Linked DNA regions of Drosophila melanogaster. The protein of the gene in region 4 interacts with the protein of the main gene of each other region in a pairwise test. Each region holds a gene or a part of one and is shown on either strand. Other genes may lie near its edges. The genes, in order: asl, cnn, ana1 and spd-2.

Region 1 (7,444 bases), on a different chromosome or scaffold from region 4:
CAGAGCCACGCGGAGAGATTGTTATAGACAGCAGGTTTAACTCCATATCCTTGGCCATAACATTGGCCACTTTGGCTGGGGATCAGATGAAGAGCATCACCAAGCTTGGCTCCATGCTACACATGCGTGGAGTTTCCGGAGCAAGAGTGATAGTTCCTGGCCAAAATAAAACTATAGACGGGCATGAGTTTCTAGGCAAGTAATATTCACTATCGTCTTTGTTTTCCGACTAAAATTTAGAATATTTCGCTTAGATTTCGGCTCCCACCGCAGCAACCTGCAAGTTCCGTACCTGACTGTAGCGGCAGGAATTGGAATAACCCGAGAGGAGATTGACAAATTCTTCGACATTTTCAACAAGTGCTGGAACCAGATTTTTCAAACTAAAAATGAAAAAATTATGAGCCTACTAGAAACAACAATCAAATAAAAAACCTATTTTTTAATATTAATGATAAACTTTCACTTTTTTAGCTGATTTTTATAAGCACAATTTTGTTAGGAATGTACAGCGACTTTTATTTGTTTAGACAATTTGGCAGTGCATGCAGTAACGATATCCCACTAAAGAGACCTACATATACATATATATATTTTCCTAAGTCTTAGCTGTGACCATTGCCTTTGGGCTTTCTATTTGAGTTGGTGATTGGGTCGCTGCTGCTATTGCTGGGCACGTTCTCTTTGTCGCGGTGCTTCTCCCGACTCCGCCGCTCCAGGTGCTGGTTCATGGTCGCCTCGATCTTGGCGAGTGATAGCTCGTACTCGTGCTTAATGCGCTCATACTCGCGTTTCATGTGCGCCTCCTTGTCCTCGGCATACAACTTGTAATTGTGGGCGGTACGCTTGGCACTTTGATATCGCTGCTGTGCGGATCGCATCGCCTCTTCGTGGGTGGAACGCAAGCTTTCCAGCTGCTGGCGCCAGTGGTGTTCCACCTGGTCGACTGACTGGCGCTGTTTCTCCCACTGAGCCATCACAGCCTTCATAGATTGCCTTTCGGAGTCGATGCTGGCGTGCTGCTCCTCCACTTCTCGGAGCAGTTCGGCAATTCGCTGGTTCTTCGCTTGCAGCTCCTGGCGGCACTTCTGCAGCATTTCCTTTTGCTTTTCTTCCCTGCCGGCCAGAATTTCATCGATATTCTCGCGTTCTGCCAGGATAGTTTGCTTTAGAAGATCCACCTCCGTTTGCCGCTGTTGCAGCTCTGCACACACCGTTTGGTATTCCCTTTGGAGGCACTGGCTCCTCTCCTCAGATTTTTGCAGCCGGTTAGTAAACCTCTTGAGTTCTGCTGCAAAAAGTTTGGCCATCTCATCACGAACACGTTGTTCGATCAACCTTATCCGATTCTGGGTGAGCTCTTTGGGCGATGGATCAGACGGGGAAACTGAGTTTGATTTCGGACTGGGCGTACACTTATTCTGCTGCTTATGCTCCTCTTGCTGCCTAATGTACGCCTCGAATTGCTTGGCCCTCTCCTTAAGATCGCTAATGAGCTCGTCCTGCTTGTTTGAAAGCTCGATCTTTTCCTGCATCTCGGCTTGCAAATTTTTAGACTGCTCCAGCGCGTGTTCCAATTCTTTCAGTTCCTTGGCCTGCATTGAGTTCACATTCTGGAGTTTCAACAACTGAATTTCCGCCTAAAAACCGTGGTGATATATAAGATTATTTAGTTTACTAGCATGTCTGAAAGGTTATCGCTTACCTTGGTAATTTCTGCTATGCTTTCAATGCACTTGCTGCAGTTTTCGGAACTTTCTTTGGCCACCGCAACTGCTTCTTCGCGCTTTTCCCGCTCGCTCCTTTGGCGCAAGGCCTGCAGATCACGTTCGTGGCTGAGTTTCTCCGTTTCCAGAAGCTTTTTTAGCTCCTCTGATTTCATCTCCGCCAGCTGCAAGTTTCGCTGAACAGTGGCCAAGTTTTGGCGTTGATCCTGCAACTCCTTAAGCGTGTCCGATTCTCTCAGCTTTCTCAATTCATAGCCTAATGACTCTTTGTCTGTGGCGATGTCAGAATAGAGTTTCTTAAGCCGCTCGACCTCGCTCTGGGAATCCCTCAACAGAATCTTGTGGCGTTCCAGCTCCAAGCGCAGGTTGTCTGCAGTTTCTCGAGTTCGCAACTGCCGATTTTCCTGCGAAAGCTGATCGTAATTTCTTTGAAGGCTCTCGTTCTGCTGCTTTAGTTGCTCCAGATCTTCTTCAATCTGCTGCCGTTTTTCCCTTAGTGCATCCCTCTCGGCCACAATGGAATTCAGCTGTGAGTGCACATCTGACTCCTGCTGTGATCTGTGTTTTTGCTCTTCCAACTCCTGCTGCATTGCCTTCACTTTGTTTTCCAACCGCATTTTGCCTTCGTTTAGGGTTTCCAGCTGAACCAGGGATTGGTTCTCCTGGTCGCGCAGCACGCGCAGTTCCTGGTTGCGTTCCTCCAGGAGCTTCTCTAGGCGTCGCACTTCTTCCCGCTTGTTCTTCAGGTTGCCCAGAGCTCGATACAACTCCTGCTTAATGTGACCGACTCTGTCTAGAGGATTCAGCGGTGTGCTACCAACAAGGCGCGATCCACCCATTTGACTTAGCCGACTAGTAGGCGATTCGTCCGCCTGATGCTGTTGAATAACCGAATCTATCAGGTCAAGTTCCGTGGTGGTTTCGTTTAGGCGCTCATGGAGCGAAGCGACTGTTTGCTCCAAATAGGCAATGCGGGCTTTCAAGTCAACGATGCACTGTTGCTGCCGACGATTTTCAGCCTGCAAATCGGGTCTTGCACTTAGTTGGTTGCAGCGCATTTGGGCCTCATCCAAAGCTTGACTGAGCTCGTTAATCTTGGCAGCCTTATCTACGAGCATTGTTTCGTGACCAGACTGCAGAGCATTGTAGCGCGAGTTTATCTGATCCAACTCATTTTGCTTGCGATCAAGCTGATCCTTCATCTGACAGAGTTGCTGCTGCAAAAGATCGGACTGGGCTCGGTGCGCTTCCTCCATTTGCTTTAAACGTAGGTCGGCGTTCCGCTCCTCCCACTTCTGCTTACTGGCCTGCACCATGTCGTATTTGCTTTGGACGTCCGTAAGCAAGGTCTTGGCGGCCTCTAATTGACCAACTAATCGCGTGTTATCTTCTTCCAACTGCTTCTTTTCCGACCGCAGCTTGTCCAGATCGCTGTCCTTATTGGAGCACGTCTCTTTGGTCTCCACCAACAGCTCGTGAGTGTTCTGCTTCTCGCGAATGGCGCGGTCTAGCTCAGCCTGCATGATGGATAGGTGCTTTTGTAAGTCATCCAGTTTTTTGTGCGCAGCGTTGGCCACCTGGTTGACATTCTGCAGCTCATTATTCTTAGACTCCAGCAGGATCTGGAGGCGATGCATCTCGATCTCGTTGGCTCGCTGAGCATCGTCCTGCAGCGGTTTATGGTGCGGATGTGATGGGTAGTTGGGTAGAACTGGCGGCTGTTCCAGTTCCGACTGGTAATTCGTCGTCGAGTCGATTGTGTTCTCTTCATCGAGCAGATCGTCGAAGGCATTCACCATAATCCGTCCAAGCTTGCGTAGAATTGGAATCGGTGACATTGTTTACCAGGAATTCCCAGATCGCTTACCTCTTCCTCGCGTCGTTTCTGATCCTGCAGCGCCTCTTCCTCCTCCTGCCGGTCCAGTGTAGAATTTATGTTAAGGGCATCCGCCCCCTGAAAGAGGCTTATACCTGGCGTGTTCATATTCGGCTAAGGGGACGCCACAAGCATCAAATTCAAATAAATTCCGAGGCGCAGGCGCTATTTTCGTAGGCAACTCTAATTTTCTTCCTCTTGCTTCTGTTGACACTTTGACATTAACATAGTAACGCGTGCTGTTAAGTGCAGTAAGCGCTTCTGTAGCGAAAACATTGCGTTCACACTACATACAGTCTAGAAGGGAATTAGGTTTTTATTCTATACTTGTACATAAACTGTAATTGTTAAATTTAAAAATAAATATTTTCCCAAAAAGTTGCCGATATGTCGAAAAGATTGTGGCCCCGACAATAGACCTGCCAGGCATACACAAGCTTGAAGATGATATTGTATGTATGTATTATCATGCCAACTATGGTTCCGTCGTATCATTGATAGGGGGAGCTGTTGTGCATTGCAGAATGCAGTAGATTTGCTATTGGAATATACATACATATGTATGTCGTGTTAGTCCAGATGACAGGTATGTATTTTCAGACACGGCCAGTAATTTTTTATAGGATCACTTTATAGAAAGAATTTCTTCTACCTTTCAAATACATTTCAACGAATCGAAAAAATATAACTTGCTTTTTAATTTAATGGGAGTCCGCTCATTTCATAATATCGAACAGCTAAAAAATGTTACATTTCAAAGATATTCTAAAAATATGAATACCAACTAGACTCCAGCAGGATAAAAATAAATCGCTTTAAATTGTTAACCGGCAATTTGTACCAGAATTTGCACATACATACATATGCATATATGTATGTATATATATCCTAACACCGTTTTAGAAGAAAAACTCAAATGGATTGTTTTTAATTTTTATAATAAAACTTATTATTCAGTTAGTGTTGAGTGTCCTTGTTGCAATGCAAAAACAACAGCATACTTTCTTTTTCAATTTTTTTCATTTTTATTAATTTTATACAGACTGTCCATTCATAAACGCACTTATATTGGGACATTTATCTAATTTCTCGGGATCTATTTGGAAAACCTTGGACAAACGTTTCCAACTTTGCGCATCAAAGTAGTAGAAGGTGCCGCGCTCTTTTGTACCATTTTTTTCATATTGATCAATGCCAGGAATTCGAGTTATCCATATTTTCTCCTCCACGTGGTATCGCCACTCGCGACTATGCCTGCGATGGGAGCAGAATTTTAGTATATATGTATGTTCTATATATGTTCATACGAAGCTTAGATAATAGCTACGCAAGAGGAAGTACTCACAATTCAGCAGCTGCCATCAATTGCATCATATCGCCGATGTTCGTGTAAAAAAGGAAAAAGAGCAGGTCTTCTTGCAGCTTTTTCAGTACCGGCGCTGTTAGTTTGTCTCTTATCGCAAAGTTAATCAGATATTCGGGTGGCACGTTGAACTCAACGTCTTGTGCTCTGAAAAAAGTAAATGCAAATCCAATGTTACTAATTTGGTACACCTCTTACTCAATAGTACTCAATAAGCAATTAAATTATGTAAGTTTATTATGTAAACTGACCTGCAGGGCTGTGCTACGAAGGGGCCAGCGAAGGTTGTATGCAAGCTCTCCTGCGAGTTCAGGTTCAGGCCTAAACCCGTGAGATCCGTACCCAAGGAGAGCGTCACCAGATTGGGATCCGTTTCTGCAGCCCGAATGAACGTCAGCAGGCCAACCATGCCGAACTGGTTGTTCACCATGGTCGCTGGTATGTTTGTGACCTTCCCTATTTATGCAAAACGAACGAAAGGTAAATTTGTTACATTTTTAAATAAATAAAATATTTCATGGTACTATTATTTCTGGATAAAATGGGTCAAGGATAGTATAGCTGTTGGGCTTTTGTGATGTACACCGAAATCACCGAATTATAATATGAAACAAATAATAATAGAAACCAAGAAATCCATTGATTAAATGGTATCAATCATCCATAGAGTGTTCAATTCAAAGCTCCAAATGATCAAAAGGTCAAAAATAGCTCTCTCACATGTTGTGAGAAGTGTTCCAGCACTCACCATCTGGCGAAGTTTGCACGCCGCTCTTTACAAGTTTATCGTTGCTGGAATTATCGTTCAGATGCTCGCCGCCCGCTCCGCTCCCAGACGAGCCGCTTCCACTCCCCAGGCCGCCGCCTACGCCCATCATGGCATTGCTGTTGGGTACGCTGTTGACGCCGCCAATGCCGCTGTTACTGCCCACCAGTCCTACATGGGACCCGCCGACAACGCCGCTGGCTGCATTGCCGCCGACTCCTCCGCCTCCTGAGCTACCAGCTCCTCCGCCGCCGCCTACTGCCAAGCCCCCTATACCACTGCCAACGGCACCGAGACCATTGCCGCCTACAACGCCGACGTTGGAACCGCTGCTGCCGCTCGCTGATCCGCTGACCACTATCGAATTCATCGGCTTTTCCGTGCCGTCCAAGTGGTTCTCTGTGGACGCACCTCCGGAGCCTCCTGTTCCGGCGACGCTCCCCACCGCGTTCGTTGTGCCGTCCGAGTTTTGGGTGCCCGGTAACGCAGGGAAGTCCTCGTTAGACATCGTGAACTCCGATTGCTCTGACGTCGGTTGCTTCACCATGCCAACTGAAATCAGAAGAGGAGCGAGATGGTCGCCCAGGGCGAATGAGTGAAGCGAAGAAATTAGTACTAAAGCAGTTTAAGCTCATACAATACACACGATTTTAGTTAATTTCTTTTTCCTCAACCAATTAAAATCAATGAGTAGGTCCAAACAGCATTTGTTCAAGGTTTTAAGACATGTTACTGTGAATTTAAAGTTATCCTTCACCTATATATGAACTTATAAAAGGTTAAGTCGCTTGCTTTATGTGAACAGTTTCTTTTTATTCATTGATCATGTTTCAAAGTAAATGAGATTGCATATAATAATATGTTTGGAGTATAATCCGGAAACACAATTTCATTTCAAACTCTAAATTGCAAAAGCTCTTCATGGAATCAGAAGCCCGTATTCGGTTGGACCAACGTAGCCAAAGTAAATGTCCTTGACTGAATCTAGTTTTTGCAGCGTTTGCCATACCCAAACCAACACCCGAGGTTAGTCCCAAATACAGCGTAGCATATCTAAGTGGGCTTAATGAGCTGATCACGAGACACCACGCTTACAACCGATTCTTAATCGTAGTTTTAAAAACAAAAATAAATAAAAAGAAGTGGATTTTGATTTGAACTCACAAGAGGTAAAGAAATTACCATAGGGTTTGCTGCCCGGCGGCTGGAGCGGATTCGATTGGGGCAGTGTCTGGTCGTTCTGGCCGCGCGCATTCGTCAGCGAGGGGAACTCCGTGGGATCGAGCAGGGCAGGCGTGGAGGTGTCGCTACCACCGCCGCCGCCGAACACGTGGAAGTTATTCAAAGGACCGCCACCGCCTCCGCCCGTTCCGTAGCCGCCGCGACCCGTCTGCATGAAGTTGCCCATGTTCGACTGCGGAAAGAGATAATGATTAGCCAAGTCTTAACAATTTATTTTTAGAATTAGGACTGACATCTCCAACTCAATCTTAATAGAGGGTATATTTTTTATGTAATGTGAAAGCATTTGTAACTTCTGAAATTAATGTATATTCCGTTGTATCAAAAATATTTCCTTTATATAAATCTGATCGATCAGCGATACGATTCTCTGATGCAATCCGAAGTATTGAAGTACTAAACCCACAGTCAATGGATATAGATATTGTTATATGTTTTACTTTGAGTATCTTGGACAAGACCGAGTTGGA
Region 2 (6,693 bases), on a different chromosome or scaffold from region 4:
CAGTGCTGCGTATGCAATTGGTATGTACATATTACACGAACGTTATGAATTGACTATAGATTAGAGTACAAATGTGATGTATTGCTGTGGCTACTTAAGTTGGTTTCATGCCAAACCAACTCATCTTCCAATTCAATGTGTCGTGTAGCAGCTTTTCCTCCTCGGTTGTCAATTGAAGTAATGTGGATACGGCACGAACAAGATGGCGAGCTTCCACCTAAAGAAACAAACATGAAATCGAATTAATTATACAGGAAACAGATGAAATTGCATACCTCGCGACTGGTCAAGAACTTAACAATTACGTGTTTCAAATATTGAAAATTAACTTCGTCCATTATGACGCAATTTCCCTTGTCGCCAGTTGAAAATGCCTCCAGCGATGAACTTGAGATTCTGTGACCTGGTGTCGTTGTCGGATGAGATTCACTGTCCGTGGATATCTGCGCACTGCGTAGTTCCTTCTGCACTGTTTTTTTCAAGTCAATCAAACGCTGATTCAGTGTTTTTATTGTCTAGACAGAAAATTGGTTAATAAAATTTGCCAAAACCATTCATAACAAATCTAACCTTATTCTTTTCGATTATTTCCAACTGAACTCGCTCGAATTCGGTCAACTTGTCGGCATTATCCTGTGCTGTGCTGCTGACCTGCTGCAACGTTTGCCGTGCCTCGGATATATCCCTCACCAGCTGATTATTCCTCTCCTGGAGGTCGCTGGCTTCGCTGCGCTCCAAGCGCAGCTGTTGCCGTAAAATGTCTTCGCTCTGGGCGATTTCCGCATTGCGAAGTATTGCAGTCATTTTCTCCTCTCGTTCGATTTCCAGTTGCATTATGGTTTCGTCCAGCTGCTCCTGCTTTTCAGTCACCTGAACCCGTAGCTTTTGGGCCACCTGCTCGGCATTCGAGGAGTACTCGCTGAACCTGTCATCCGCTGCCGTGAGACGAGTCTTGAGATCTTTTACCTCTGTTTCCAAATTTTGCTGAGAACATTCGGTTTATTGGTTTACAAAATCTCCATCAATCAGTTTTGGATATTGAGGGTAAACATATATATGCGTGCATTATTGAAGGAAAAAGTTTACCAAAAAGTTTGCCAACGATTAAATCAGTTTAATACGAAAAGGAAAACATTTACAATCAAAAACTACATAATAGGTGTGGTTGGAAAATTCCAAGTAAACCAGGAGCTTAATTGGTAGAGTTAGTACTGCATTGTTGGTTAAATTAGTGTTACAAGTCCCAATGGAAATCGTCAGAATCGGGAGGCATACTCACAGATTTATTGCGCTCAAAGAGGACTTGCTGCTCGTTCTCCTCTCGGCACTCTTTCAGGGCCACACTAAGTTCATCGATTTCCTCCTCCAGCAGCTTGACCTGCAATTAAAGTGCATAAGTATTGGCACATAGGTATTACTATCTAACCTACCTTATCGTCCCGCTGCTTTATTTCATCTTTGGCTTTTTCGAGTTCGAATGATACCTGCTTGCGGCTTTCAATGGCATCGTCGCGGGATTTAAGGGCCTTTCGCTTTTCGGTGGTCTCTTCGGCCACTTGCTTGGATAGACGACTAACTTGGGTTTCCAGCGCCAGATTCTGGCCACTCCACGAGCCTTTGATGTCCGACAACTGCAGATGGGCCTCCTCTAAGTGCTGTTCCAGCAGTTTATGTTCCCGGATAAGGGCTTGCACTTGTTGCTCGGAGTTCAGTTTGCCCAGAGACTCGAGTCGCGACTCCTCGACGATTTTCATGCGCTTTTTGAGGTGCCGGTTCTCCTCCTGTACAGCCGCCAGTGTTGTGGTCAGCAGATTCTTCTCCTGCTGTGTAGAATGTCGCAGTTGCTCTAGTTCGTCGCGTAAATCTTCGGCCACGGATTCAATGGGACGCAGACGTTCTAGTTCCTCGCTCAAGGACTCGATTTGCTGGGTCTGCTGGCGCATGAGACCCATGCGATCCACCGACTCCTGCTCCCGAAAGCTAAGCAGATTCTTCAGCTTGTCAATCTCGATTTGCTGTAGATTCTGAATCTTCTCCTGCTCCTCGCAGTATATGTCCTTCTGCGTCTGGGCCACACGCACACTCTCTAGCAGAATCTCGTTGGTCTTGTCCACGCGCGTCTTCTCCTCCTGCAGCTGCTGCAATCCCTGCGTGACGGTGGACAGCTTCGTGGTGAGCTCGTTGCACTGACTTCGCAGCTCGCACAATTGCTCCGACTGCGAAAAGAGTGAAGGTGTTTGTTTATCCGTGTTTTTGTTTAATGTGTAAGTATACACAAATAGACTGTTTTTTTTTCGCTCAGTTTACCTCATTGTAGAATCCGCCACCGCCCACATCATCAGCTGAGTTGGAATTAATGCTAACGCGGCGACTACGTAGCCGGTAATTGTTGTTGTTGTTGCCGGGATAACGTTGATTGGCTGATTGGACCACATCATCGCCAGTTTCCTCCTTGATCTTGTTTTTCAGTGTAGCAAACATTGTTAGGTTTTTCGAGGGGGGAGCTTTTTCTCTGTTGCGCTGCTCTATTTTCTGTATGTGTACTGCCCCCGACTGAAGTTGGCCTGCTTGTGGCTGGGGCTGACGAAAACGTGCCCACAGAGCGTTTATAGCATGGCGTTATATCTGGTGGCCGTAGTGTTCTACTTGCTTATCAGGCGAATGCTAATTTTCGTAAACCGTCGATGTTGTTTACCATCGATAAGAATCGACTTTGCAGTAACGTAAATCGACGAACAGCGTTGCCATACCGCTGTGTTAACTTTTTCCCGTTGTACGGCAGTGCTGCCAGTGCGCATGGCAGCATTTCGATAACTGACGCCAGAAACAGCTGTTCCAGCGCGCTTCATTTTCCAAACAGAAAAAAAGTGTAATTGTTAGCGTCCTTTGTGAAATTGTCAAGTGTTAGAATTATTGTGTGCGAAAGTTAACTATTTGAGGACCTCCCATGGACCAGTCTAAACAGGTTTTGCGGGACTATTGCGGCGACGGCAATGGTACCTGTGCATCGTCCTTGAAGGAAATCACCTTAATTGAGACCGTGACCAGTTTCCTGGAGGAGAATGGCGCCGCCGAAATCGACAGAAGGGTCCTGCGCAAACTAGCCGAGGCACTGTCCAAAAGCATAGACGAGTAAGTCCAAAACACTAGCATAAACAATAGCTTACCAATAAGACTTGTGTGGCAAATCCATCGAAATCCCTGGCAACTGCGAGTGCGCAGCAGATGATCGCCATGTGACATGGTGATCGTGCCCACTGTGATCGGGAACTAACGCTCTCAGCTGGAGCTCTCCCGCATCCGTACTGCTCGGCCCCATAGGGGGAGGCATACTCACAAGCACAGGCGTACAATGGGCGTATTACCCACCCCAAAAAATTCGAAGAGAGGAACAATAATACATCTGCACTGAAAAAAATTTTAAAGCTAAATTTCCATCAATATTTATTTTAAAATGTTTTTTAAAAACATTAAGTGATTTGGATTAATTTACGATTTTAAATGAAATAAGATTTGTAAGGTACTCTTATAAGATGTACTTTTATTTTTAAGATTGTATGCTTCATCACTTTTTCAAATGCTGAATAGAGTCAAAGTTTAATACATTTTTTTATTATAATCTTTAGATTTACTATTACTATTCTGATTCCTAATGAAAATGAAAATTTAAAAGAAAAAGAATTGGGAACACAAATGTAATCCCTTAAGTATACAACAGATATTTCTGTATTCTATTCGTAGCCAATGAACTGAGTTTGCTGACCGCTTTCTCGCTGTGTACGGCATTGGGAAATGCGTAACATCTGCTGAGCGCATTTTCCTTTTTCCTCGCAGATGAGCCCGAGTTTTCCGCCCGTTTGCTGCTCTGCCTTTGGTCGCTCTGAATCGGTCGCATCGCAGTTTCAGTCAGTTATGTTCTAGCTTTCGGTTTATTTGGACGTGCAGAGAGCGTTTTTCGGTTTATTTTGCTTGCCTCTCGGCTATCAATCGTGCCATATGTACATACATACATATCTATATACTCACTTACCCATATATACATACATATATGTAAATAGAAACAATCAGCGGGTCAAGCGTTGTGCGGGTGTGTGAGTGATTGATTGTACATACATATCTGTACATAAGTGCAATTGTTTATATTGCACTGCGAGATACAAAAAGTGATAGATTGATTTGTAATTTATTGCATTCGTTGCTGTGGATAAGCGATTAGTGGGATGCTGGTGGTTCTCGGATGAAAAACAAAAAACCAAATCGAAATACACAGATATATAAAGTACAAAGTGTGCTCGGATTTACAATAAATGTAATATATACTTAGAAATACTAAAGATATCTGTGCTTGTGCCCCCTGATGCTGCTGCTGCTGCTGTTGTTGTTGTTGTTCGTTTGTCGTTTTTGTCGCCACGATGCTGCGGCTAATTTTAGTCGGAGAAAAAGTATACGAATTAATTTGTTTGTGAAATAGAGCATTCCATGGCTCAATCGACAGCCGCAACAACCTATATCATTATCTGCGTTTTCGCACTTCCTGGAACTCTGAATTTCGTCACAAGTCGTCTTATCAGACTGCAGTTTCGTCGTATGCTCCATGTGTGTGTGTGTGGGTTAGTTAGTTATATACACATGTGCATTCATCAGGGGTCATGGACTCGTGGAATTAACCCCTATGGGGTAAAAACCGAACAGAGCACCTCTTTTGTTGCCCTTCCAAAACTGCAACGCTGACTTCCCTACCCTCGAAAAACAAAGCATCCTGGTTGGTAAAGTACAGTATCGTTTGTATGATATGTAATTTGAGGGATCATAAGTAGAATTTATCATGCAAATGGCTCATTTAGTTTTGTTTTTATCGCATTCATTTAAATTTAAATAAGGAATTAAAAAAAAACACACTTTAGTCATAATTTAATTGAGTAATGTTATATTTTATTTCTTATTCAATTGAAATTTCCTTTCTAATTTTGAACAATAAACATCTTGCATATTTTATGAATGTTTTGATTCGATTTATGAATATGAGTGACATTTGACATCCTGTTCAAAAGCCTTCAAGATTCAGTGCGTCCTTCGTCATATGGTTATTGTCTTAAGATGCTTTCCTCGCATATCACTCGCTATAGTCTCGATCCACTTCTGTTTATTGTTATTGTATTTCTTTGTTGATTAAGGCAGGCGCCTTTGTGTGTCGTTGGCCATAGTTTGACACCCACTCGAGGCGCGCCAGGCAGCCAGGTAGATGAGTCGCGTCTGCGTTCCAGGTGAGGTGAGAATGGGCTGTTAACTGCAGTTTACCTGTCGATGTGAGGGCCCTAAAATGCATTCGCGGCAAAGTTCAGGTGCTAAACGAAGAGACACATGTTCCGGCACGGTTCAAAATGCACACCTGTTGTTCCCAGTGACCAGGTCGCTCAGCTGTCGGCTTAAACCATTGATTTTCATTACCACCATAGTAACCAGCGATAGCCGAATGCCAAAACAAAACAATGAGTGAAAATGTTTGGCAGAATTTTCTTGTCCCGTTCACAAATTGCTGTTTCTAATGCGGTCGCCGTTTTGCTGTTTGCTCAATTCCCAAAATAAATAACGACCAGAGGCGGTGCGTGGTGCAGTGTATGTGGTGGTTAGTATCTTCAACGATGCGGTGGCCCACATGTGCCGTCGTCCAACCCCCCGTCCTGTTGGGGATGCATCCCGTCCGTAGGAGCGCCAGACTCTTTGAAGACTCTTCTTCCGCTCTACGGCTGAATGCTCCTGATTGCTGCTGCGCACGTCGCATCGCCCAGCAGCCCATGACTCATGGCTGCCCGTCCCTTCGAAGACGACATGGCGGATACGTAACGAAGTTTGGCGTGCGCCGCGAAAGTATTTAGGGAATAAAGCCAAGAACAACAACAACAACAGCAGCCGCAGCAGCAGCCAGGAATGACGTGTCCACCCCGTGTAAAAGCAACTAATTAAATCTCAAAATTAGAGTCGCTGCAAATATCTACAGAAGAGAACTGAAGGAAAGTGAAAAGAATATAAATAAACGCTAATAAGAGCGCAAATGTTAAATGAAACATAGAATATGGCGGGTATCTTTCGATCTACCTCACTAAATCACTCGTCGGATGTACCTGGCACCCCATTCAAGAGATACTCTCTGAATTCCAACAACTCAACATTCTGGTAGGTTATGTATTCTATAATAGTTGGGCTCACTGTATGTAATCTATAGCCCCCCTCCCTGTTCCCCGATTCACGGCGGATTTAAGGCGCGGAAGTGTAATCTCATCCATTGCGACTTGTGGTTTTTGGAAGTGTGATCATTCAAGTGTGACTTTAGCTGAAATTTAGTTCACAGCGCAATTGGGCGAAATCGAATAAAAAGAGGTTGATTGCCGATTTGGGCAAATATTGGGTGTGTCTACAATTGATAGAAAAAATGTACGTTGCGGATCATAGTTTTAAGACGCTATTCATAAGGATTTTTATATCGATTATATGGATTTCATTTTAAAACTTAACTGGAAATATTTCGAATGGGATAGGAATAAAAAGGGATAGTTCCTTTTTATTAATAACTATTAAAAATCATTTTGGATGATAAATCATTAAAGTATCCCACTGTAGGTGTTCATTTGATTGAAAATGTTTCTGTTACTTTTCCGCAACAATGAACATCTCGTGAAAACTGGGTAAATCTCT
Region 3 (9,415 bases), on a different chromosome or scaffold from region 4:
TACACAATCTCCAGCAGCAGTCGAATAGCAACCAACTCACCTCCGAGGATCGCATTGCGCTGCTCGAGAAGGAGGCGGCGCATTGGAGGGCTCAATTCGAAGTGGCCAAGCTGCATCAAGCATTTGTCTCGAACCCCAGCAAGGATCTCAGCACGTGCAGCTGCAGCACGGCGGCGGCGGGCGTCACCGTTCGACCGGCAGAGTCGGAGGCGAAAGGCAGCCAGCGGGCGCGGGATTCGCTGCAGGATCCCCCCGAACCGCCCACCAAGGAGCAGCTCATCTACAGTGTGTTCAGCAAGAAGTTCGAGGATCTGATGCGACTGAAAGTGCAAGCGGAATCCAAGTTGCGATCCTACGAGCTGGAGGTTCAGCACCTGCAAAACTGCCTGGAGAACGCAACGCACGAACTTAAGGCCAAGGACGATCAGTTGGCCAGTTTGGGTGGAGCCCTGCAAATGCTCGAAGAGGAGTTGGTGAGTTGTGCCTGCAGTTTTGTGCTCTTAGAACCAAGTGACATCTCGGATTTCCTTAGACTACGACGCGTATTAACTACGAGGAGCAAATCAGCGTGCTGACGGAGCAGGTCATCAGCTTGAGTGACCAGCTGGCCGCCTGCAAATGAGCATGGACAGCGGCGCGCATCCCGCCCAGCTGCTTTACTGTATATTGTTGTAAAATAACTAACTGGGAACGCCCGCTCCCCCTCTACCCTGTTTTGTTATTGTCCACCCTCGACGTGTATATAACTGAACATTCTATGTGTATTAAATAATTCTCTAAAGTTTAAAGTTTACAATTTGATTGAGAAGGAGGAGCCGCAGGAGCAGCCCTGTTCCGCCAGCGGATTGGCCACCATCCGGAAACCGGCGCGTATTAGTTCGCTATGGTAGTCCACGGTGGCGCCGCTGCAGTACTCCAGCGAGACTGTATCGATCACCACCTTGGCCTCAGCCTCGCCAAACTGTCGGTCATCCTCGTTCAGCTGCTTATCCAAATCGAATTTGTACTGAAAGCCGGAGCATCCGCCTCCTTCGACGGTCACACGCAGGAAAGATCCATCCACGCAGATCTCACGGAGCCGTTTCAAGCAGCTCTCGCTCACCTGGACACTAAGTTCGGGATTCGCGGATGTGGAAGCGGTTGCATGCCGCATTAGGATTAGATTTCTATGGAAGATCAAGCATTTATTGTGGGATTTGTCACGCAATTTTTCCTAGCTTATTTCACCTTTGCAATCCGCTCCTGGCCACTTGTCGCAGTAGGAACGCCATAATTTTACGATTTCACAGCCAAAAAATGTAATTTCAATATTTCTATTTACTATCTCGTAATCCAAACAATTTCAGCTGATTTCGCACGATAACGATAGGTGTCGATAGTTCGATACATCCCAACTGGGCCATCTAGGCTTGTGTACATGCTGTTGTGATGTTTTCGTTTTCAAACTGAGTTTATTGTCATGTAGCTTTCAAATTGCATTCATTAAATTTTATAATTTAAAAAAAAACACGTAGTTTTTCGATCATTTAATTTCCGAATTTGTATTGTGCCTTGAGTGCGTGCTACTTACCAGCTGGTATATTTTAGACGCATGTAAATTCTAGTACATTCAATTATTCATCTACGGTCACACTGCCGCTTGGGAGGAATTTTTAAAGACGTTGGGTTGTTTGATTTTACGCTCAAACTTGTTTCGATTTCTACTGCGTAAATGCTGCCCCACATACGAATTTATTACATATATCGATAGAGCAGATGGCTCTGCAGCTAACAGTAAATGGAAAGTTCGGGGCCAACCTGAGGAGGACCATAGGACCACTGGACGATCCAGAGCAAGTACGCAAAGATCTCGAAAGTGAGCGTCGCATAACCCGTTTGAAGCAGGTAACTTGTCCCTTGGGTTCCGAGCCCATTGCGCAGTAATTGTAACACAAAGCGTGACCACTTAATTTTATAACCAGGTGCGGGAGAAGTCAAACCACCTGGCACGCCAGATACGCGAGGATGTGGCTGCCGAAAAGAGGCGTCAAATCCACAAATTAGAGCAGGTCAAGCAAAGGGAGCTAAATGCGTGGCGTGAGCATGTTTTGGTCAAAAAGCACCAGGACTACCGTTCGGCCATTTTCCAGGTGGGCGCCGCCCATCGCGCCGCAAAGGAGGAGAACGAACGCATCGAGCAGCAGAGGCAAGAGAGAATCGACAAAATCCGAAGGTGTCGCAAGCAGGCCTTGAAAAGATCGGCTAAAGCCAGCGTTGAGTTGCGGACCACAAACACAATGAATTTAAATGCGGAGGGACGTGCCTCGGCGGGAACACAAACGCCCATAGTGGAGGACAAAGAAAACCGAATGGAGAGCGGGTGTAACAAACCCTGTTGCAAGGGCAAGCGCAAAAGGAAAACCAGCTGTGGATGTGCCAGCACCGATGCAGAGGATGAGAAGGAGGATGACGCATCGTCCGATGACGACTCATCCATCCTGATCATCGAGAGTCCGAGCAGCAACCGGCGTCTCCAAAAAACTACCCCCGTAATCCTAGACGTAGAAATCGAGGAAACCATTTCTGAAACCGACAAGAATCCCGAGGGTATGGATATAAATGATAGGTTCATGCAAACCAACCGGAAATTCAGCCATGTCGTGCGACCCAGTGATGATGAACCCCAACGCCGGCCGAGATTCACTCAGATCAGCGATTTGGTAAGAAAAACCGAGACCACCGTACGAGCTGGGCCAAGTCAACGAAGGGAAGCAGATCCTACTCCACCAGTATCTGCCCCGCCTAGTCCCACCAAATCCCCGCCAAGATCGCCCAGAAAATGTGTAGAGCGTGAGGAGCCCGTTCCTGCTCCAGCACCCAGAAAATCACCCACTAAAACAGCTAAAGGATCGCCGAAGAAAACTGTGACGGCACCACGTAACCAGCCATCAGTCAAAAGAACGGGTTTAAAATTAAATCCAGCTCCTGCCAAGGTGATAGATGCGGGAATACACAGAGGTCAGAAGGCCAAAGCTCCAGCTACGCTGCCCAAAGTAACAGCTATACAGAAACCAGCAGTGGAACCTCCTCGAAACCTTCCACCGATTCCAGAACAGGCTATGCCAGCTGTGCCAAATCCGTCGATGACCCATTGTTATCCCATGCCGCAGAATCAACCATACATGCATCCGTATGCTCAACTTCCGATGCAACCATATGCGATGCCATATTCAATGCCATTTCCCGTGCAAGCCCAGTTTCCACAACCTCATCCGATGTATGCACCGCAGCAAATGATGCCGAATCAGCCAGCTGTACTCGGTCCCGCTATTACTGCTCCACCGAGCACTGCTACGCAATCCACTGTGTCCACCACCACAATTACCATGTCCTCGCGACAGGACCCAAGGACGACTCAATGTGGGCGTGTTCAGTTCTATGATCATAGCAATAAGTACCATAGAACGTACGAAGCACCAACACAGTCGGTGCAGTGCAATGAGAAGGATGCCACCCAATTGACCGCTATGGATCATGCTCGCATCGAGAACCAGCTGAGGGATCTGCGGGAACAGGAACTGGACAAACTGAGGTAGTAGCCAGTAAAAGAAACAGAACACAGAACTTATCTTAATGAATCAAATTGAAATCAATAACGTATTTCAATAGGAAAATTAGTGACGATCGTGGTCAAAAGGCTCTTGAACGCGAGCAAGTGCGTCGGGATTGTGCTGAATTAACGGAAAAGCTAGATGCTCTAACGCAACAGCAACCGCAGCTCTTGCCAACCGATGTAAGGAAATCAAATATTTTTCCTCTTTAAATAATACAAACTCATTTTCCCACCAGGCTAACATTATACCTAGCCATCGGTACGCGGATGCAGCTGCCAGGCGAGAGCAAAAGATGAACGATGCAATGGAAGAAATGCTGCTTCGACCAGCCATTATCACCTGCCCGGAAGTGCGCACCAAACCTACTCCTCCAAACTTATCGCGCAGCAAATCCAAAGCTTCTGTGGCAGTTAATTTGGGCGAACCTCCTGTTCAAATCGGCCGGGATAATCTTGGCAGCTCGGAGAGCTGCAGCTCCATTCTTCTCGACTACGTTAATGATCAAAGCAAGCAACTCAAGTCGGACCTGCAGGCCGAGCAGTCAAACTCACTGAAATCGATGAGGCTAAAGAGTTTGCTTGAGCGCATTGAGAAAATTCGAGTCCAGCTGTTGGAGGAACTGAAGGCGGGTGAGTCAGGTGCATCAAAGGGTGACAATGCACAGGAATTGAATAATATACGTCAGGAGCGAGCTGATATTCTATCCGAGCGAACGAGAACTTTAAACGAACGAGAATCTGATTTGCAACAGAAGGAGGCTATTCTCGAGCAGCGTCTAAGAAAGTTCTACAAGGAGACAAAAAACGCAAAATCCAGTGAGAGTGATAAGCCAAAATCAAACGCAAAAGAAGATGGGCCAGTTGAGATCATTATTAAGGTGAGGAGTGACGGTACTGTTAAGCAATATGTACCGAGAACAAAATCGAAAGCCAAAACCAAGCCGTCGGCTATCGACAATGAAAAGGATGTGCCCCTGGGCTCAACTGACAGCACACCAAGAGACGATGAGCCAAAGCCGACGGAACAGGATCACGGAAAGCGACCATTCTTACAGGATCAGCGTCAGATATCCATTGATTCCAACTCCACTGCCTATCGCAGTCTGCCGCCAGTGAGCTATAAAAATATGACCACGGCCGCTCCCCCTTCTGCTCCATTACATCCCATGGTGGTTCAATATATAAATCGTCTGCTAGGAATGACACGCCAAAATATCGATGAGATGGGTGTGAGTTCCTCGTGTGTGACCACACCATCAACGTCGGTGATCAACTCATTGAGAAACGTAACCCCTTGTCCCGAGCCTGAAGCGGGAAGAGCTGAAAGGGATCAGGATGAAAATACGGAGATGAACGAGCATCGCATGGAGCGGGTGCAAACCTTTATTGCCGACAATCGCAGCTTAATCAATGACTTGGAAGAATCAATACGTTGCCAGCAGCAGCTGCAAAGGGAGCAACAATCGCTGGATGCAGAGAAAAGTATGCGCGCATTCGATCAAATATGGAACAAGCGTTTGGCCAAGAATCCTGAAGATTGTCAGCAAACCAACAAAGAGAAAGAGCAAACAAGAGAAAAGATGCCAAGGGAAAGGCCGACTCCACAAGGAGATAGGAAAAATGCAGCACCTCCACAGGAAAGCGGCAAAATTCGTAGAACTCAAGAAGGGGACCGGCAGCAGCAAACAAACGGTGCAGTGCAACAAAAAAGGGAGCAAAAGACTGTAAAACAAGGTTCAGGCGCCGATAAAAGCACAAACCGCTTTGCCCCCGAAAAATCGAAAGCACTATCCACCAGTGAGGAGTCATCTGCCCGAAACATGGAACGCTATGCACAGCTCACGGAGAACTGCACCCAGCGGATCGCCGAACTTACAGAGCTGATCACGAAAGTGCGCGAGGAGAAGCAGCGACTGGTGGAGGTCACCCTCACATCGAACAGCGATGGCGAGCGGCAGTCCACTGAATATCTTGAGCTTCCAACAGGACAACAGCAAACCAGATGCCGGACAATTTCCGATCGCAGCGATTCTCAAACACCTTCGACCTCGGAAGCCTTGCCGTTGCAGAAGCACAAGCCGACAGCGGCCAGCAGGGATAGTGGCATTGCGGACTCACGTCCAATTACGGCACAGGGTCAGGTTTGTATCGATGTGGAACCCATCTCGCTTGGGTCATCAACGCAGAATAATACAGCACGCGGACGAGTAAGGGCACCTCCGGCCACGATTCGTCGGTATAGTCCTCAACTAAACGCCGAGGATCTGGCGCACGAGCTGTCGACCATTACAGAAGTGGAAACGCCAGGACAATCACATATTGTGGCCGCCACACCGGTGCCCAAGCCATTCCCTAGTTTCGATCAGTATGCCAAGGAACTGCACTTAGATCTGTCGCGGTTGGATGCTGATCAGAGCCAACGGCTGCAGGGCGAATTTAATGACTTAATACTCGCGATCAGGCAACGCAATCAAGGAACTGACTACCGTGAGTTTCCTAGCATTAATGCCTATCTTCATAACATGACTAGCACCCGAATCCATGTGGAGATAGGTCAGGATGCAGATCAGGCCACTCTGTCACCGGGTGAACTGATGCGACAGCTGCGCGTGATCACTCATAGTATCCAAGACTTTCCCAAGCGCAGGGAATACTTTGAAAAACTTATGGCCAAGCAACCACCCGATCAGAGGGATCTAATAGACAGTGCTAGCTTAGAGAATGATTCCACGGATTCATTTAACGTAGAGGAAGAACTCCGCCAGCGGAAAATTCTAAAGAACTCATTTCGTCGAGGAAACGCAACTGAGACCACATTGACGGCTCAGGAGGTGGCTAGCAGTACGCGGCGGGAAAGCGTCGCCCCAGTGACCAACGATCAACCCAACGAGAGTGGCATAGATCCCCTCTCCGGCAGCAACTTTTCCAGCGACGCGGATCAGAGAAGTCCGTGCTGGCATGCCACAATGCATGAGAGGCAACAGCAGGTGGATGAGTTGTGCAGCAGTACCACAGCCTCGTCGCCAGAACGGCGGCCACGAAAGTCTCGGCTTCGTGGAGGCCACGAGCACAACAATAGGTCTAAGGACGATTCCACTGTGCAGGATGCAAGCCAGATAGGAAGATCCCTTAATCTGAGGGAATTCCTTACGAGAGAGCTCCTCAAACATCGAGTGCACGACGACGTTGCCAGTGAGAGTTCAGATGAGTCCTTAAGGGGGCACTTTCTGAAGTCGGTCCTACATTCGCTCTCGCCCAGCAACAACACGCAAACGCCAGGAGTGGGTGTAAGCCATGCCACCGGAGCAACAAACGACAGACAAAAGACATCCACACCAGTGGGATCGTTCCTCTCCATTCCAGAGAAGGCCGGGTCCATGAGTAACACCGGCTCTCAACTGTTCTCCGGGGAGAGTCGCATCTCCCTGGTTAACTATCCAGATGGAACTCCACCCATTCCTTTTGAACAACAAAGCAAACTTAGTACAAATCAAACTCGCCAATCCTCAGGTCAAATAGGATCAGGTGTCAGGACAACGCATCGAAAGTCGCCCCGAAAATGATCGCCGAACTTTTAATTCGTTTGTTTAGGTTTTAGATTATATTATCCATTTTATGACAATTATTTATATTTTACTTACTTTGCAATTTTGTGTCAAAAAATGACTATCGAAAAAGATTGTATAAAATTTACTCAATAAGTTAAATGTACAATTTTATTACCAATTTGTGTGAAACTTATTTATATTTTAATAAACCCGACGATTATTTATTAAATTTCTATCTAGAGTTTCAAGTACAATATTTCGGTTGTATGAATATAGACTTGCAGTAATGTACACAATTTATAAACAATATATATATTTGATGGTCTAACTAGTGAGTAGATTAACCCACTGATCCTTTGAGGACCTCGGTGTTTCAGTTCTGGTCCGGTACCAGAATGTAAGTAGCTTTTGTCATGTTGTAAGTAAACATCCGATTCACTGGCGGTCTACAATAGGTTGGTGGACAAATATTACAACGTAGTCCCTGGTGGAGATTACATCTAAGTACAATACGTATAAGGCAGTACACATTCTAGACTTTTCGTTAACAAACTTAACTAAACTAAGGAAATGAAACATTGATAACATAATATGTGTATGTGCACAAGAAAATCATTTTGGTACGGTTTTTGTTTTGGACAAGATTCCTCTTCCATTGGGAGCCCAAGAGTTGTAACCTTGAGCCATTATAAGCACCAGATTTGGTTAAATGCGATTTCCGATGGATATTTTTTTGGGCCACCGTTTCTCACTCCTGGCTCTCATCCTGATCGCGATCTCGCTCGTCCCGTTCTCTTTGCATTCTTTTGTGGCTGTCACTGGCCGTCTTCTTCAGTGCTTCCGATTCCCCGCCTGTGGCCTCTACCATTTGCCGGAGATGTCCCTGTGACTTCTTCAACAGCAAGTACGGCACATCGAATTCCACGGCGACACCAGCATCCATTACTATAATCCGATCCGAATCCATGACTGTGTGCAATCGATGGGCAACGGTGAGCACTGTGCACTGCTTGAACTTGATGCGTATGGTGCGCTGGATCAGGGCATCGGTTCTGCGAGAATAGATGGGTTAGAAGTTAGTTCTGGAGATATAGTAACTTTCGTTCTAGGACTCACTGTGGATCCACATTGGCCGTGGCCTCATCCAGTACCAGCACCTTGTTGTTTCGCAGAATCGCCCTGGCCAGGCAGAGCAATTGACGTTGGCCCACGCTGAAATTGCCGCCCCTCTCCGTTACCATGTAGTCCAGACCGGGAATGGCTTTACGCAGCTCCACATCTTCCAAAGCGCTCCACAGCTCAGCGTCGGTATACCGCTCGAAGGGGTCCAGATTGTAGCGGATGGTAGCGGAAAACAGTACCGGATCCTGGGGTATAATCGAGATGCGGGTGCGCAGAATTTCCAATGAAATCGTTCCCGTCTCTATGCCATCGATAAAAATCTCTCCCTCGATGTGAGCCAATCGGAAGAGAGCTCCAATTAGCGACGATTTCCCAGCTCCTGTACGTCCCACAATGCCAACCTTCCAGCCCGCCTCGATGGTGAGATTCAGGTTCCTAAGCACCGGCGATCCATTTGGATCATAACGACAGCTCATATTGCGGAACTCCACCTGACCGCGTGTGGGCCACTGCTGCGGTGGCGTTTTTTCGCCCAGCGCCGGCTCCTGCTCCAGTTCGGTGTATTGCAGGACGCGCTCCACGCTGGTCATTTGCTGCAAGGACTCGGCCACTTGTCGCACTCCATATTGCACCATTCCGGTTAGGATCATGGCCTGGGCAATGGCCAAGCCTACGTTGCCGCTATAAGTGGCTAAAATTAGAAAATATACCTATTAGTTTTGTTCTTTTTAATAACTTATTTCTAATAGAACTCACTTTCACTGGAGATAATGAAGCTGAAGGTGACAGAGGTAAGGAAGATGCAACTGACACAGTCCAGCCACAAGCCTAAAGTCGTATTCACTGCCATGGTCAGCTGCCACACGCTACTGTGCACATCCTGCAGCAAATCAAACTCCTTGGCCACCACATCCTGCAACTGGCGGGATCGAATGATGGCCAGACCCGTAAGGGAAGCACTGAGATGGGAAAACACCGGACTGCGGCATATGCCCTCCAATCGCTTGAGATCCTGCGAAGGTCTCAGGTACAACTTCAGGATGAGCACATCCACAACGGCTACCACCAACATGGCGGCCACCAAAACCGGATTCAGTATACCAATAACAATCAGAATTCCAAACATCACCAGAGCGATCTGTATAAAATCCAT
Region 4 (6,730 bases):
TTTGCTCATGATTTAATCAACGTTCTCCGTTTGCAATATTTTATGTTCTCCATTTTTAGTTTGAAATATATATGTATTTATTATTTTAATGTACAAAACACACGAATGTAAATAAATTTGTAATTATGTCGAATGGAGTATGTTCAATATGGGGGACGCCCCGCGTTTCTGTAGCCAAATCGCGGAACTCCAATGAACGGCGGTCGCTGGCGGTATCTGTAGGGGGCCGGTGGAAACGGCGGAGGACGTGGTAGCCTTTGGTATCCAAAACTTTGCTGCATACCAGACATCCCCTGCAAAATCGATTTAAGTTAGATTTGTTATTTGTTTCAATACAAATAACTACTAACGTAGAAATCCTGTGGTGGCACTTGCACATAGTAGTTGATGATCTTTGGCGGAGGATTATACCGATGCGGGCTCCGTTGACGGCGTCTTCGTTCACTGCTGCGACTTCGGCTATGTTGACGGCGTTTTCGTTCACTGCTGCGACTTCGGTTGCGATTGCGGCTCCTAGAGCGCTGGCGATGCCTTCTGTGCCTGCTCTCTCTGATGGACGACTGTGATCTGGATCTGGAGCGAGTGCGTCTGGTGGATTGGTGCGCTCTTTGGCGCAATCTTCTCAACCGATCCTGTTCTCGAACCTCGTCTGCAAAGTACGGAATCTTGTGCTCCTTCTTTCTGCTGTCCCTCTCGCTTGATCGCCCATGGTATTCTCTTTCTCGCCGGGATCGAGACCTTGAGCCACGGGAATCTATGTGAAAAGAGTGTGCGGTTAGTCAATGCATCTAACGCATAGTGTTTGGCGCATCGTCGGAGACGGAATCCACGTAATGCGCAGTTGAGAGTCCTATTGTCCTAGCTTCTCTTTCTCTGTCTGGTCGTCCAGCGTTCATTCTCATCCATTTCACATTTCACACAATATGACACTAGAAAAAAAACAACAAAAAGATGGCACTGGATCAGAATCTGATCAGATCGGTTATACTATATAGTGGGTACCTCGATGCTGGGTTCCACTGCTGTCGGCATCCATTTTCATCGGAAAATGCTGGAAATTAAATGATGCACTTTCCTCAGTGTGACCGTACTCGGCTTGCACCTTGCAATGTGCCCGCCAACTCACTTTTCGACGAACTATCGCTACATATACGTTACTTTTTGAATATTCGAGAGCAACATATCAAAATTTAAAATTAACTCATATACTTTATTAGTTTTTATTTAAGCTAAATTCAACTTTTAGGAAACAAGCGAGTATTTTAACTTTAGGGTTATGCGTTTTCCTTACAAATACTCTGCAAACACGGTTTCATTTCACAAGTACACAATACAATTTTTGTTTAAACTAACTACACAAACATAGGGAAAGCAGAATTAGCAGGCACAAATAAAACAAATTTTAAAATTTAAAACTAATCGGGACACTGATGCGCTCGTTTTCCATGGAGACCACAATGAGCGGCTCCCTTTCGAGCAAATCCTGCCTGGGTGAGCGGAGCAGGCGCACATCGATCTCCGCGTGGCCGCCATCCGGGGATACGTAGCACTCACTGGGACTGATTCGCACCAAATCGGGCACATTGCATGTGACCTCGATGAGCTGCCTGGAGCAGAAGCTGTTGGTTACGGACAAAGTGGCCAGTGGCGAACAGCCCACTCCGAATTCCAGCAAACCTGGCTGCACACACCAGTTTTGCTCGACGGGCGTCAACGTTGTGGTGTCCGCCTCCAATAGCTCATCCACTGGCTCCAATAGATGGCTCTGCGTTGGCGTCGGCGAATTGGCCACACATATGGTGCGGAATAGCACGGTTTCGTCGGCCTCCGGCAGGAACATCAGGGAACTCTCAGACGATTCATCAAAGTCCCGATTGAGGGTAAGCGCAACATCAATAATCCGCACTACTGTGACCAAGTCCAGAATAAACTCTGGCGGTTCGTTCAGCTGACCGATGTTGCGCACTGGCTGCTCGTCCGGAAATTCGCCCCAAATGCTGTCCAGCATCGGCGATGTGAGTTTCTCTCGCTGTCGGCTGCTCATCCTTTGGACCAAGCTACGCATACGCTGTCTGTTGGGCTCGTCTCCGCAGAAAATCCGCATATTGGCCAGGGTCAACACCTGTGCGGTCTTCTTAAGTATGTTCTTCAAGTCCTCACGATTCGGTCGGAAAAGTATCTGCACGCAGCGCTCGCTATTTGGCGGCAATATCAAGCGGCTCGGACGTACCTCGAAGGCCTCGCTGAGGCGCAGTTTCATGAGCACGGTGGAGTCCACTGATATACCAACGAAAGCGGTGAGAGGGCCCTTGTTGTGAAACTTGAGATTCGCCGAAAGCGGACCAGCGGACAGCTCGCATACATCGCCGATGGTAAGGAAACTGGCGCCCACCGGTCCCTTTAGCAGACCGTTTATGGTGATGGACGCACTGCCCCCGTAGCCGTACAACGGAATCTCTAGGCCCGGCTGGTTGCTGTTATGCGCTCCTGGTGGTGCATAGAAAGACAAGGCTCCGATGGCCGCTCCACAGACAGTGGGGCAAAAGTTGATCACTACCGAGCGGCATTCCATGGCTTGGAGTGTGATCGTGCTGCTGTCGGTGCCCACCAGCTGGAATCCGGGTCCCTGGATGCCAAGCCGAATGACCAGCCGTTTGTCCGCTGTGTTCTTAACCTGCATGGACTTACGCACATCTGTCCGCAGCTTTGTGCTTCCCCAACAGAGGGTCGTGTGGGTCACCTTTAGGGGGAGCAGTTTTCCATCGCGATGACTGAACTCACTAGAGTTCGAGCAGCGCGAAATACTACGTGGCACTGCAACAGAGCTGGTTCCCAACCCACGTCTTCCACTCGCTGTGAATCCGCTGGTGGAACTGGCCTCACTACCTGCGGGCGAGGAGTTTGCTTTGCGGGCTGCTCCACTCATGAGCTGCCGGCGGTCGGAACTGGTTGTGCTGTCCAGCAGCGGCGACGAGAGACAGCTTCTTGGCGAGGACAGGGGCGATAGATTTTTGGCCAGGTTCGGTGAAATGCCAAAATCACGTTCGGTAGAAGAGGCCACGGCAACGTCACAACCATCCAAGCGAGTGCTGCTTAAGGAGGAGGCTTTGCGCGGAATCAAGCCCATTGTAGCGATCGAAACCCTCTTCTTGTTCACTGGCGTCTTGTCCTCGTCCTCCTCATCGTTTTCATCCTCGGTGCAGGTCAGTGGACGTACGCCGTCGCTACTCGACGGACTTGCGGCTCTTGGAGAAATCTTAGTACGTCTCACTCTGCGGCTAGGCTCCTTTACCGGCGTCGAGGGCCACTCATCGATGTCCGCCTCGGCTTCTGTCTCTACGGGATCGGTGTCCGCACGGCTGATGGTGATTTGCGGATGGTCCGCCAGCGGACTGAGCGGCTTGCGCGAGATGCTCTGCTGCAAATGACGAAAATCCGTTGAGTTTAGCACAGAGTCCGTGAAACTCATGGTGTCGGTAAGCTTGTTGGAGCCGCACGAAGTGCGCTCCGCATGGGAGTTGCTGCTCTGGTTCTCCTTGTTTTCCCCATCGTCATAATTGTTTCCACGACCATGCTCCCACAGGTGGTTGACAACCTCTACAGTGGATGTATCCGAATTGAGATCTATGTCCCTTAGCGCCTTGTCGATCGCGGAGAGACTTAGGATCTCGGAGCTCGACGGCGGACGCTTGGTCTCTTTGGCTGCCAGACCATTCCTGCTCTTTAGCGCAGTTTCAATCCGATCCTGTTGCATCTTACGCATAAGATTGCGTCCGAGATTCGAGCCAGTTATGGCATCCGTTTTAGTGTATGTTTTATTGTCTGGCTGTGGGGTCTTCTCGCCAACCGAATCCAGTGTCACGTTACTTTCTGGTTCCAATAGCGGTTGGTTGGTTCGCGAACGATTCGGGCTGCTATTGCTCACAATGTTCCATATATTTTCCGAACGCGTCTGGAAGTAGTTGCCCAGCGAAAAGTCTGGATCTCCGGCCAAGACAGAACTGTAAATAAAAGTTGAAAGTTGATCAAATTATATTTGGAAGACTATTTTATGTTGCTTACTTGGACACCGAGGTTTCTATCTCGGATGTTGGTGCGGCAATCTTCTTCAACGCCTGTGTGCTCAACGTGGCCGTCGGCATGGCCGTGAACTCCTGCGCCCAGGAGATTTCACCGAGCACCAATTTGGACTGCATTAGCTCGGCGGGAGCAAAGCTCTCATCCTGGCCTTCCGCCGCCAACGAGGCAGATCCAAAGGAAAATCCCCCACCTCCGTTAAGACTCAGTTCACTCATGTCCGCAGTGCGCGGTAAGCTGCGCGAGCAGTTGAATGAATCTGAGAGGCTGCTGGAGCTGCCACGTGATAAGTGATAGCTGGCCTCCGCCTGACTGGCATCCTGCAGCTTCCTTTCCAACAGGCGAGCCTTCTCAACGAAGGATGACTTTAGAATTTCGGCCACCGACAGGGATGGCTTCTCCCTGCGGCGCTGTTTTCCCGCCTGGCAGAGTGTGGACCTGCCGGTGATCTCCGCAGGCTCAAAAGAGATGTTTGTGCCCTTGGTGGCGGGCGTGACCAAAGCAAAGGAGCTGCTGCTGTTCAGATCGATGGTGTCGTCTGTTACCAGCTCCGAGATGTTTGTGGACAAGCGCATCTGGAGGGCAGTGCTCTTTGCTTGGCTGGAACGCGACGGTCGGGGCTTTTCCAGTGTCTCCAGCGCACGCAGTCGTTCTTCTCGGAGCCGCTCGTGGACGGCGGGAGAGTCCCGACCAGTGCCGCTCCTCCTTCCACTTTTGCTGAAGCTGGACAAGTCGCCGAAGACTGTAGGGAATGAGGATTACTTGCTGCTTCGGCTTATTTCCGGCGTGCTCCACCTGCTTACCCTTTAGATTGTCCATGTTCAGGATGCCCAGCGAGTTCTGGTCCATGAAACTGCCATTTCCTTGGCTTCCACTGCTACTGTCCATTCCGCTTTGTCCTTAAACAGTTACAGTTTGCAGTGCGAACGCGAAAACAAAAAAAAGGCGCGTCGCTTCGATCAAAAATGGACGTCGATAAATGATAAAAGATCCAGGGCTGCATACTAGTGTCGAAGCGGCCTTTGCTTACTTGTCCGGTCGATCAAATGTCAAAAATGTAAATATTTTTAGTATTCTACTGCATCACTGCTGCTAGCGCATATATCAAAACTCCACAATAAACAAAAAAACATAAATACACATATATAATAAACAAAAAAACATAAATACATATATTAAAGAAAAATGTTAACACAAGTCACCAATTAACTGCGCGAGATAAATTTACGTTACATCCCCACTCGTTAAACCGCAATGATAACCGCTAGCCAATTCAAGAGTAGAATGTAAAATAAGCTTACGATAAACTGTAAACTGCAACAAGCGCAAAACGTGCGACGGGGATTTCTCCCCGGTATTCCACTTTTCAATTCTCAATACCGCGTAACGTCGTCTGCAATTTGTACCGGATTGCATTGGATTATCCGCCTGGGCGCGAACAGTAACTCCCCAAAAATGGAGGCAGCTATTCTGGATATAATCAACGGGATCCTGACCATAGACACGGAACGAATCCGTGAGGTGAGCAAAGCGGGCCATCCGGCAATAAGAAAGGAGGTTATCCTGGGCGCCAATGGATGTCTTTCATGTATGCTTTCCTTTCTGACTGCTTCACGTTTGTCTGATCAGTTAAGTTGAATCCACACTTAGCTGTAAAAATAGGTGTATAATATTTTTTTTTTTTTTAATTTAATGTTTAATGTTCTATTTGATCAGAACAAACTTCCGAAAACTATTGCACTTTTTTAGAAATAATTATTTATATATAAATAATAATTATAATAATTATTAAAAAAAATTATTATAAAAATTATAAAAATAATTATAATTAATAATAATTAATTAATATTATATTTTTATTTGCATTAAACTCGTGGATATACCATTACATTGCTCGAATGGACGCACACTTCGTCGCTTCCTAATTGAAAAATTACTTATGTTGATAGCATGATAGCATAGGGCCATAAAAGTCGCTAATAAAGTTCCATTTCTTTCGCTTCCTTAGTCCACAGCCAAGATGCTAAAGGCCTACGAGAATCCCGATTCTCTGCTGGTTCTCACCCAGATCGTGATGTCGGACAGGCCGGTCCAAGAGCGGCAGGTCGCCGCCGTGCTCCTCAAGAGGCGGGTCAAAAAGTTACGCCACTGGCAGTTGGTTCCCGCCGAGCACCAGGCAGCGTGAGTTAACTGGTTACCTTTTAATGACTATGATACAGTAACGGATGCATGTTTTTTAGAATCAAATCGAACATGCTACAGGTCCTCATCGCGGTGAAGGAAAAGACCGTGAAGGGCACGGTGGCCTTTATAATTGGATCGCTGGTGCGCCACGAGGAGGGCGAGCAAAACTCCTGGAGGGAGGAAATACTGAAGTTTATTTACGAACGTTGCAGCAGCCCCGATCCAATAGAAAGCGAGCGGGGCAGCTCAATCTTTTCCTCGCTCATGGACGCTGCTCCCGATCAGTTTTCGGACCACACGGATACTATGTTCCCATTGCTTGCCGGCATTCTAGTTACCGCCGAGGCGAATGGGAACATGGCCACACCCACCGTGCATAACATGCTGACCGGTTCATGCTTCTTGTTGCCTTTCGTAAGTGGACATAGTAATGCTGAGCAGATTGTGGTTAAGGCTGTGCCGCTCATAC

What was found.
Region 1: the proteins of spd-2 (region 4) and asl interact in a two-hybrid assay, tested with the Drosophila melanogaster proteins (4 studies listed by BioGRID).
Region 2: the proteins of spd-2 (region 4) and cnn interact in a two-hybrid assay, tested with the Drosophila melanogaster proteins (2 studies listed by BioGRID).
Region 3: the proteins of spd-2 (region 4) and ana1 interact in a two-hybrid assay, tested with the Drosophila melanogaster proteins (one study listed by BioGRID).

The regions. Positions count from the first base shown.
Region 1 is NT_033777.3:5,602,736-5,610,179, forward strand, and holds asl (asterless), read right to left. Parts: upstream 3,809-7,444; 5' UTR 3,712-3,808; coding exon 3,595-3,711; intron 3,539-3,594; coding exon 1,706-3,538; intron 1,641-1,705; coding exon 606-1,640; 3' UTR 501-605; downstream 1-500. Other genes in the region: SecS (Sec synthetase), read left to right, coding at 1-195, 255-430; Rga (regena), read right to left, coding at 4,638-4,857, 4,949-5,113, 5,218-5,422, 5,715-6,284, 6,897-7,146.
Region 2 is NT_033778.4:13,446,613-13,453,305, reverse strand, and holds the start of cnn (centrosomin), read left to right. Parts: upstream 1-2,830; 5' UTR 2,831-2,947; coding exon 2,948-3,132; intron 3,133-3,905; exon of another isoform or gene 3,906-4,309; intron 4,310-5,977; exon of another isoform or gene 5,978-6,073; coding exon of another isoform or gene 6,074-6,174; intron 6,175-6,693. Other genes in the region: Golgin97 (golgin 97), read right to left, coding at 95-217, 276-515, 571-984, 1,280-1,378, 1,431-2,216, 2,308-2,481. UniProt on the Drosophila melanogaster protein: Core component of the centrosome throughout spermatogenesis. May participate in mitotic spindle assembly and the mechanics of morphogenesis through an interaction with microtubules, either directly or indirectly. Is a target of several homeotic genes.
Region 3 is NT_033777.3:24,529,031-24,538,445, forward strand, and holds ana1 (anastral spindle 1), read left to right. Parts: upstream 1-1,545; 5' UTR 1,546-1,755; coding exon 1,756-1,884; intron 1,885-1,961; coding exon 1,962-3,571; intron 3,572-3,648; coding exon 3,649-3,772; intron 3,773-3,828; coding exon 3,829-7,155; 3' UTR 7,156-7,365; downstream 7,366-9,415. Other genes in the region: CG6607 (uncharacterized protein), read left to right, coding at 1-473, 533-622; CG13623 (uncharacterized protein), read right to left, coding at 791-1,166, 1,228-1,271; Cftr (CF transmembrane conductance regulator), read right to left, coding at 7,889-8,192, 8,257-8,953, 9,019-9,415.
Region 4 is NT_037436.4:16,590,002-16,596,731, forward strand, and holds spd-2 (spindle defective 2), read right to left. Parts: upstream 5,014-6,730; 5' UTR 4,966-5,013; coding exon 4,881-4,965; intron 4,820-4,880; coding exon 4,063-4,819; intron 4,002-4,062; coding exon 1,403-4,001; 3' UTR 1,206-1,402; downstream 1-1,205. Other genes in the region: tra (transformer), read right to left, coding at 144-293, 351-754, 1,003-1,042; Apl (apollo), read left to right, coding at 5,533-5,598, 6,086-6,258, 6,318-6,730.